2 linked regions of the Oryzias latipes genome follow. The protein of the gene in region 2 binds, or shares a complex with, the protein of the main gene of each other region. Links are inferred from orthologs where the notes say so. Each region holds a gene or a part of one and is shown on either strand. Other genes may lie near its edges. The genes, in order: cdk2ap1 and mta1.

Region 1 (4,411 bases), on a different chromosome or scaffold from region 2:
TGATAACAAAATAAAAGCTGCAGCTTTGATCTTTGGCCTTTGATATTTGGGGCGGGTCACCGTACAGGTGAGACCTTCGTTGCCCTTATCCGCCCGTGAGGGCAGTTGTGAATAACAGCTGAACGACCCGTTTTATCGGGACTTTCAAAATAAGATGCACGCATTTCCTGGGAGCCCCAAACAACCATCTCAGAGTTCTCTGGTGTTTTTATTTACCAACTTTCAAACTTTAATGGTACCGTTTGAATATTGGCCAGGAGAAAACAAGTGGAAACCAGCGGTTTGTCAAAGATCCAGACGCAGAACCGTTCTTCATCAGACAAGGACGTTAGCTTAACGGAAACCAGCGTGAAACACGTGCGGAAACAGGTGTTTTCTGCGCTTTAACATCTGCTTTTTATTATTGAGGCCTCAACTAAAGTAGGTGGAGCCTGGCGGCCCCTATGTCCAAAACGATTGACAGGTTTTCAGGTGGTAGGGGTGTGGCCTTCGGATAAGCTCCACCCCTGATTGGTGAGGGTGGTTGCCACAGAAACAAGGACTCACTACAAAAAAATAAAAAATGGAGAATTGAACCATTGTCGATGGATGTGGTCACACTCAGCCCAGGTCTCAGGTACAGTCAGCGGTAGAGCCGCCGCCACCGCGTTTCCACGAGCGCCAACAGAAACCCTGAAAGACTCGCCACACCTCTGACGAGGGTTGGGAAGAAGAAGATGTTTCTGCGGCGTCTAAAGGCGGAGCTCACCTGTGAGAATCCCAGAGATGGAGGTCCGTAGTCGCTCAGCAGGGGTCTGTAGGACTGCAACGTGGCCAGGTTAGCCGCCGAGGCCGACTGAAGGTTCCCAACTGCAGGCAAAACATCCGCATCATGAAAGATGATACAAGAAGACTGTACTTCTGTTCTTTCACTGCTAAAATATACCAAACATGGAGCCCGTTTGTCTGACATTGGTGACACAAAAACAACCGATTCAGAGCTTTCTATCAAATATTTTGTTTGATTTGAATTATTTTAGTCCTAAACGCAGCAGAATCATAAACACACATCTGTAGTTTGGTTTCCTCACACGTGTGCGTCAAAACCCCAAAAAGCCGTTTACGGAACAGCGAGGCTGAAAGCCGTCCCTGCATTTGCTGACGATGGATGAGGATTTTAGAGAAATATTACCTTTGTAGAAACAGAAACTTTGGTTTACTTGGTAAAATGAGAGAAAAAAAAAACATCCGCTAGTCATTTTAGAAAGTACGGACATCCAAAAAATGATCACAGATGAATTTTTATGATTATTTTTAACTTTTAGGCTCTGATAAATGCAAAAGACTTGACCACATGACCTCCACACCATCCGTCTTTAAAATGAAGCTCAACTCATTAATGAAGACAAACTATTTTAAAAATGGCGGCTTTCATGCTGGTTTTATCTCCATAGCAACCATTTCCTTTTTTGGTCCCCTGGGGGTGGCGAATCCGTCGATGTAATTTGTAGAAAAATTGGCAAAAGTAAACTTTTGGATTTCCTTGGCAACGGAGGTTTATCATTAACCACGCCCCCATTCCTAATGTGGTTTTATTGTATATCATATTGTTTCATTCAGCTTGACGCAAGGAATTAATGTATTCAATTTCCACAATATTCTGGTAAGAAATGCGCGACCAACAGGGGAACGCCAGTTTTGCGAGCTCGCCCCGCCAACACCGTTCCAAATCTTTAAACTTTAAAAACCAACATTTTTCCCCCCATGTAGGTTCAAAATGATGAGTAACGATAGATCAAAATCCCCAGGAGGACTTTAAATTTGTAGACGGCGATTTTTTATTTTTATTTAAGCCCCTTCAAAGGTCAACGAAACTTTGGTTGTAGACTGAAGCTAGCAGGGAAACCTGGTGAGGATCGCTTGAGCTAAAAGTTTATTTTCCCATTTTGAGGGAAAATAAGGAAATCGCCAGATTTCAAACCACAAAAGTGTGTCCCAGACTGCTGCAGGACACACTGATCATGTAATGTTTGATAATGTTTATGGATTTAGAATGTGAAGACAAAAGACGAATGAATAATTACAGATATTGTCACTGGTTCATGCATTACTGTATATATCAATACAATAGTATGAAAAGTGCATCATTCTGACTCTAAAATCAGGAAATAAAATTAAGTTGTTGCTAAATAAGAGTGAATTAGTCATTAAAAAATCTGAATACTAATTAATAGGTGTGAAATTGTTAAATGAAAAAAATAATGAAAACAATTCAGTATTTTCCACGATGTATCACTAAATTAAAGGTTTTCTTTGTTGTTTTTTGGCTCCATGAACTCCAGCCTGCCTCCTGCGCCTGCAGTATCGGCCCCGACCGGCAGGTGTCCTCGAAGAGGCAGAAACTCCTCCGAGGCGGATCAATCGAGCAGCTCCGACCGAGGAGCATCATGGAGGAAACGGAACAAGGCTGGCTCAAGAAGACATAACCGATACATTTTTGTCACCGTGTAACGGCACCCGCCGGGCGGGACCGCGACCCCGGACGGCGGGGAACCCCGTTTTCGGAAGCGCCGCGCGCTCGTTTCTCATCCCCGCCGTGTTTCCGCGCCGACTCGACCCGCGGATGGCGCCCTTTTACATTAGTAATAATGGCGGATATGAATTAGCCTAGCTCCCAGGATCTGACCCTATATATATAACTGGACAAAAACTACAGACACAGTCTTTCTCCAGGTATTCTCCGAGACCCCGAATTTAACGCTCGATGTAGCGGGCGGGTAGTTGGCTTTTGACCGCCGTTTTGCTCTTACCCTGGTTCCCTGAAGTTCCCGGAATGTGCTGATGGACGTTGGGTTTGTAAGACATTCCCAAAGACATTGTAAATTAAAGAAATAAAAATGACCCGAAATTCAGTGAAGCGTCTGTCTCTCACTTTTTGTTTACAACAGCGGCACCGGCAAATATGGCCGTCACTTTATATTGACACCCACTGGGTTTCCAGAGCCGCTGCCATCCGCGCGGCACAAAACCACTTTTTAAACATCTTTTTACACATCTAGCGCACGCGCGCGGCGTCGCGCGCGCGCTTATGTGACATTTAACCCAAAGTTTGCTCCAAAAAAAAAAAAAAATATTTTTTTTTTTTTTAAGGTTTCAAGATTAAAACCACTTGAAGGTTTTAAACTCAAACCTTCTTAGTTTTTGTTTTACACTTTTTTTTTTTGGAAGTTTTGATGAATGAACTTAAATAAATCCACCACGCGTTTGGTGCACGCGCGGGTTTGGAATTGCTTGCAGGGAAATAAGGGGGACTGGTACCTGCTTTGGTCTGGGGAACCAGAACCCCCTCCCCCCCAGAACCCACACCAGTCTTTATATCCCATCAGGCCCCGCTGCCCACATGGTGGCCCCCCGGTACCGGCTGGGTCCCCCACATCTTCGCCATTCAGAAATGTTTCCAGAAGAAAAAAAAAAATGTAGTTTTTGACTTTTATTTTAATCATCTGTTAAATAATCCAATGTTAACTTGCTGGGAAATATTAAAAAAAATTAAACATTTCCCATCATCCTTTTCATGTTTTTTTAAATATCACTATTTAAGACAAATTTTATGTTTCGTATGATGTTAAAGTGAATAAAAGTAAGATTTTAAAATGTTTTGAAAGTTTACTTGAAATATTTAAATTTATTGCACAAATGAATAAAAGCTTGGAAAAATATTTAATTTCTAATTTATTTAAAAATTACATTAAAACCTATATAAAATTAGAGTTTTTGATATTTTGCATTTTATTTTTTTCTTTTACATATTTTAGTAACCAAATTTTGGTCAATTTTTTTTTTTTTTACAATGTAAAAGTAAACAAAAATACTTTAAAATAAGTACATTTCCTCAGGTTAATTCTTATTCATTGCTCAAATAAAAAAGAAATCTTTAAAAAATATTTTATTTTTAAAGAAATCTTTAAAAAATATTTTATTTTTAGTGATTAACATTGTGTTTGTCTTAAGTTTATTCTGTAACTTAAGTTTAACCTAATTTAGGTCAAATATCTTCATTTAGGATAAAAATAAGCCTTAAATTTACTGAAAGTTTGTGTCAGATGTCAAAAATAATTTCAAATTTAAATACCGCTTTATATCCAACATCACATTGTTTAAATCTACTTTTACTTCCCAGCCTTTTAGTGTATTTTATGTAATAATTTTAGATAAATCAATTAAATTAGAGCACAAAATAATGAGTTTTTACAAAATCTCATTGCTAAAATAAAAACAGTGACAGAAAATCAAAAAAAAAATCAAACATTTTTCTTTTAGATTTCTTCCAGTTTTGCTCACAGAAATTTAACTGAAGTCGTCTAAACATCGACTTTTTCTTGACAAACAGCAGCTTCACTGAAGCACCAAAGCTAGACGTAAATGGAGCTTT
Region 2 (4,294 bases):
TAGAGCTTGAGTTATAGCTTTATCCCGATAAAAGACTTTATAGGCCCCTCTTGAGAGTTGTACTATAATGTATTTTAAAATGACTCTAATTTAACTTAAATGACACAGTGTGGCAAACATCTAAATGCTTGTGCACATCCATTTTGTAGAAAAAAAACACACACCCTCAGTGCTCTTTGTCATAAAAGAGCGCCAGGATATAATCCAGGATCCCTCCCAAGCAGCTCAACGCGGAGACTGCACACATAAGTAGGAGTGCATGAGGCACGCACAGCTGATTGGCCTGATCCACTCATGTGATCACAAGCAGAGTCCCCCGTGTTAGGCCATGGTAATTGAAGCTTCCATATGGTATAGATCAGATGTTGCCTTCACCACAGCATTCCTGCAGCACAGTGACTTCCTTTTTGCATCCACACTGAAAACTGGGCTAATTTGGACAACTGTTTGGCATAACACCCACTCATGTAACGTCAAATAAATGAAATTCAATTTGCTAAATGACAAAACAAATTACATGTTTATGGTTTATACATTGGAGGATTTATTGATGATCTATTGTCTAATTTTTTCTTGCGTGGCAGGTGTGACGCTCTTTGCCAAAGTATACAAGAAAACGAACTTTAGCAGGAAACAGAAAAATTATGAAAAGCGTTCACTATTTTCTTACAGTTCTTTATATTACAAAGATATGAGCCATTATATAATGAATATATTACTATATTAAATTAGGGTGAAATATTTCATATTTTAAAGTAAAAATTGGATTAAAATTAAACATTTTAGCATAATATTAATCATGTTTATCCAATCACCAATTGGCTACTATTTAAATCTAAAGTCTGTAAAGTTATGCCATATTTAAACAACAATTTCTCCAATTTATCATTTTCTGTTGCTTCTGAAAATGTTACTTCTATGGAACTTATTTTTGTTTATAAAAATAATCCCTGAGTTAATTTTAAAAAGTGTGAAAAATTACTAGTTTTACTCTATTTTGGTTGCACGTGCAGTTAGTTAAACACTACGGCAACTCTTTAGGGATACTTTTAAAACAAATAAAAAAGATGATTGAGAAGGAGATTCTTAATTTGACAATTATTTCAGAGTTATTATTTATAATCAAAACTCCTATAACTACATAATATATAGGGAAACAGCAAATAAGTACATTTATTTACATAAGCACAGGTGATGTTCGCATTTCTATATCCAAGAACTTTTGTTTTTTATTTTAAAGTATCGCGATAGTTTAAGTTCTATGCCGCAAATAACTGAGGCAATGTTGGGATTTTCAAATAATAGTCGAATTATCTTTCTTGACAAGCAAAATTGTGATTTTAAACAAAAGTGTACATTCAATTGTCAAATTTGAAGTTGACATTTTCATAAAAACGACTTACATAGACGCGTTTAAGGAAGATTACGTCACTTTCTCGTTGTATAAATTACACGTTTTGGGAAATATGTCATGTGTCGCTACTTAAAGGTAATATTTGTTGAAATTGTGAGTTCACTTATCCACGTCCGGGTGCCCAAATTTTGAGGTTTCGAAAAAGAGGTGTACTGTCTCTTTAAGACGTCTCTGGCAGTCTGTTTCGTATTGATCAATCCACCATTTTCCAACACACAGCAGCTCCGGCAGCGCCACAGAGAAGAGAGCCACCCCTCTACCTGGAGAGGAAGCCAGGGACCGGGGCGCAGTCATGGCAGCGAACATGTACCGGGTTGGAGGTAAGCGCACACGGGTTCGGCTCTTTGGAACACCCCCGTCTTCGTTATTTTATGGCGGGCTCGCCATTATTCACAGAGCGAGATCTTTTATTTCCCAAAAAGCTAAAGAGCTTTGTGCCTCCACAGATGAGGATGGTGTGAAGAGGAGGATGGTGATGAAGAGTAGTAGATCTTTTTTTTTTTCTAATCACGAAATGTTGGTAGCTTCTTTTGTGCCTGTGTTTTGTTGCTCAGCGTGGAGCCAAACAACTCCTTCAGTGTGGGGATGCGCACTTTAGTGAAATGCTTTAGGTTCTCTCCTGTTTGAAGGTATCATGGCGAACATTTTCCCCAAAGTTTTGCGTGCGTTTAAACTGCTTTCTGCTCGGAGTAGCAGCCAGGAGGACTTCACTGACTGACCAACGGAGACAGGTAAAGCATCCATGAGCTGAAGGAGAAGGAGGCTGCTGGGACAAAAAGTTCAATTCTACCAAAAACATTTGGGGAACACCAAACTGGCAACTTTAGTGATGGTTTTCATGCCCATCCATCGCTAAGCTATTTTATTTCCATAATAATTTAAAAATATTTTTAAACAGGCAATTGATTAAAGTACCTAATTAAGATTCCCCACCCACTCGTTCTCTGCCTGTGTTCAGATTCAAATCCTACAGGGGAAAAAAACACGTGAAAGTTCACATAACAAAGTCTAATAATGTCATTATAAATTATTGTAAATATATTAGCCCTCTTGTTGTGGTTTAAATGTTTAAAAATACCCTTTAAAATGTTACAAATGTCTTGTTTTGTGTGTTAAAGGTTTAAACAAGCAAAAAACAACAACAGGTTTTTGGTTTAATTTTAGAAATTAGGAAGTGTTTTTTGGGATTTAAATAAATTTTTTTTTCTATTATTGTAACATAAGCTATCTTGACAACAGTGGTCATTATAGAATAATCCACACAAAGATGCTTTTCTAGTTATTAATTTAATAATGTGTGTTTATGTTTTTAAAATGTATCAAAAACTTGTAGACTGGTGTAAAAATGATATGTGAACTAACTGAAAAAACCATTAATTTGAAACATTTTGATACCATAATATTTATCTCGATGGTACACATTTCTCTGTGTTAGGACTTCATAAAAAAGTTTTGTAAAGATACATATAATGATGCTCAAAATTAATTTAAATCTTATTTTTAATGTTTTTCTTTCACCCCTAAATCCAGTTTGAATTAGATCTTCTTCTTTAAATGTATTGGCATTGAAATAACACCTGAATTTGTCGGATTTTTGCATTACTTACCCTCCTAAACGTTCATCAAAACAAACACTGACTGAATTAGTTCACAACTAGAACGTAAATATAGTGTTGAGTGGGCGATTTTTCTGCGAGTAATTTAGATGGGGTGCTGTGTGGGTTTTTGAACAATTGACGTTCTTTGGCTTGGATGAAGTTGTCATTTGTCTCGAGATGTGTCATCGTATCCCCGAAGAGCTGGCAGCAGGTGCAGCAATTTACAGCTGAGTTTATTTATCTAATCTATGTATTGATATTCTTTGGTCATAACCGCTTGTACAGGCTGAGTAACCACATTTTGTAGTACATCTAACCAGTGTGTGCACGTCTGGGAAAGAGGAACGATGATGAAGAAGAATTACCTTCACTTTATGGATCTATTTGCTTGTTCTGACCAAAAAATCGTCCCATCAAATGTAGGAGTTAGATGGACTTCTATGGATCAGCTATAGTCAAATTAAACCAGATCTACCTGACTGGCAACAGGATTATGCCCAGATCAGGGTAGAAGGTTAACCCTCCCTCTGCCAAAGTGTTGCCTAATTTGGTCCAAACCTTCATCGTCATTCTCTAGAGGAGAATCCATCAGCAGGGCTTAAATTCCTCATCTGAGCAAATTGTAATTAACTGTGCAGATGTATTATTTATTTATTGCCTTAATGCACTGAGCTTGTATTGGGTTGCCTCTGTTTTGTTGCACCGCAGCTCAGGAAATGTAATTAAATTTATCAATCAGGGTCTAAGCTGTTTACACAAACTCCCTAATTTGTCATTTTGGAAAAAGAAAAATCCATTTAGCTTCTTATAAAATACTTGAAAACATCTTAGGATTATGAAACTTACCCAATTTAATCAAAAATCATTAAACATAAGTCATAAAAATAGGACGTCTTAATTAATAACTGATAGGAGTAATCTAGACTTAGCCAATAATAAACCCTGCCTCTCCTGAAACCGGTTCCAGGTCATCATCAGAAGAAAGCAGAGCCTTAAAGAGTTGCCTTCAACTTTGCAAGACAATGCTGCTGAACCATCTTAGGAAGGACTTCCTTTGAAAAAGACTTGGACAAAAGCAGGCTCCTCTGGCCTTCATGTCTTTGTTTTGCACAGCGCAGGCCACAAGCCACTCATCCGGTGCACACAGCGGTTTTTCCTCAATGCTTCGCACCAGAGAAAGTGTTAATTACCAAAGATGGGCTGTGTGTAAAGCATAGAAGCAAACACAGCTTCTGCTTATTGAACTAGAGTTCAGGAGACATAATTTATTCGTGCAAATGTG

The links.
Region 1: mta1 (region 2) and cdk2ap1 share a complex: the UniProt entries of both Homo sapiens proteins name them as parts of the nucleosome remodeling and deacetylase (NuRD) repressor complex. The link is inferred for Oryzias latipes from reciprocal best matches to the Homo sapiens genes MTA1 and CDK2AP1.

What each region holds. Positions count from the first base shown.
Region 1 is NC_019870.2:2,597,296-2,601,706, reverse strand, and holds the start of cdk2ap1 (cyclin-dependent kinase 2-associated protein 1), read right to left. Parts: upstream 3,035-4,411; 5' UTR 2,857-3,034; coding exon 2,790-2,856; intron 850-2,789; coding exon 749-849; intron 1-748. UniProt on the Homo sapiens protein: Inhibitor of cyclin-dependent kinase CDK2. Also acts as a component of the histone deacetylase NuRD complex which participates in the remodeling of chromatin.
Region 2 is NC_019880.2:4,694,862-4,699,155, reverse strand, and holds the start of mta1 (metastasis-associated protein MTA1), read left to right. Parts: upstream 1-1,470; 5' UTR 1,471-1,489; intron 1,490-1,604; exon of another isoform or gene 1,605-1,633; 5' UTR 1,634-1,706; coding exon 1,707-1,734; intron 1,735-4,294. UniProt on the Homo sapiens protein: Transcriptional coregulator which can act as both a transcriptional corepressor and coactivator. Acts as a component of the histone deacetylase NuRD complex which participates in the remodeling of chromatin.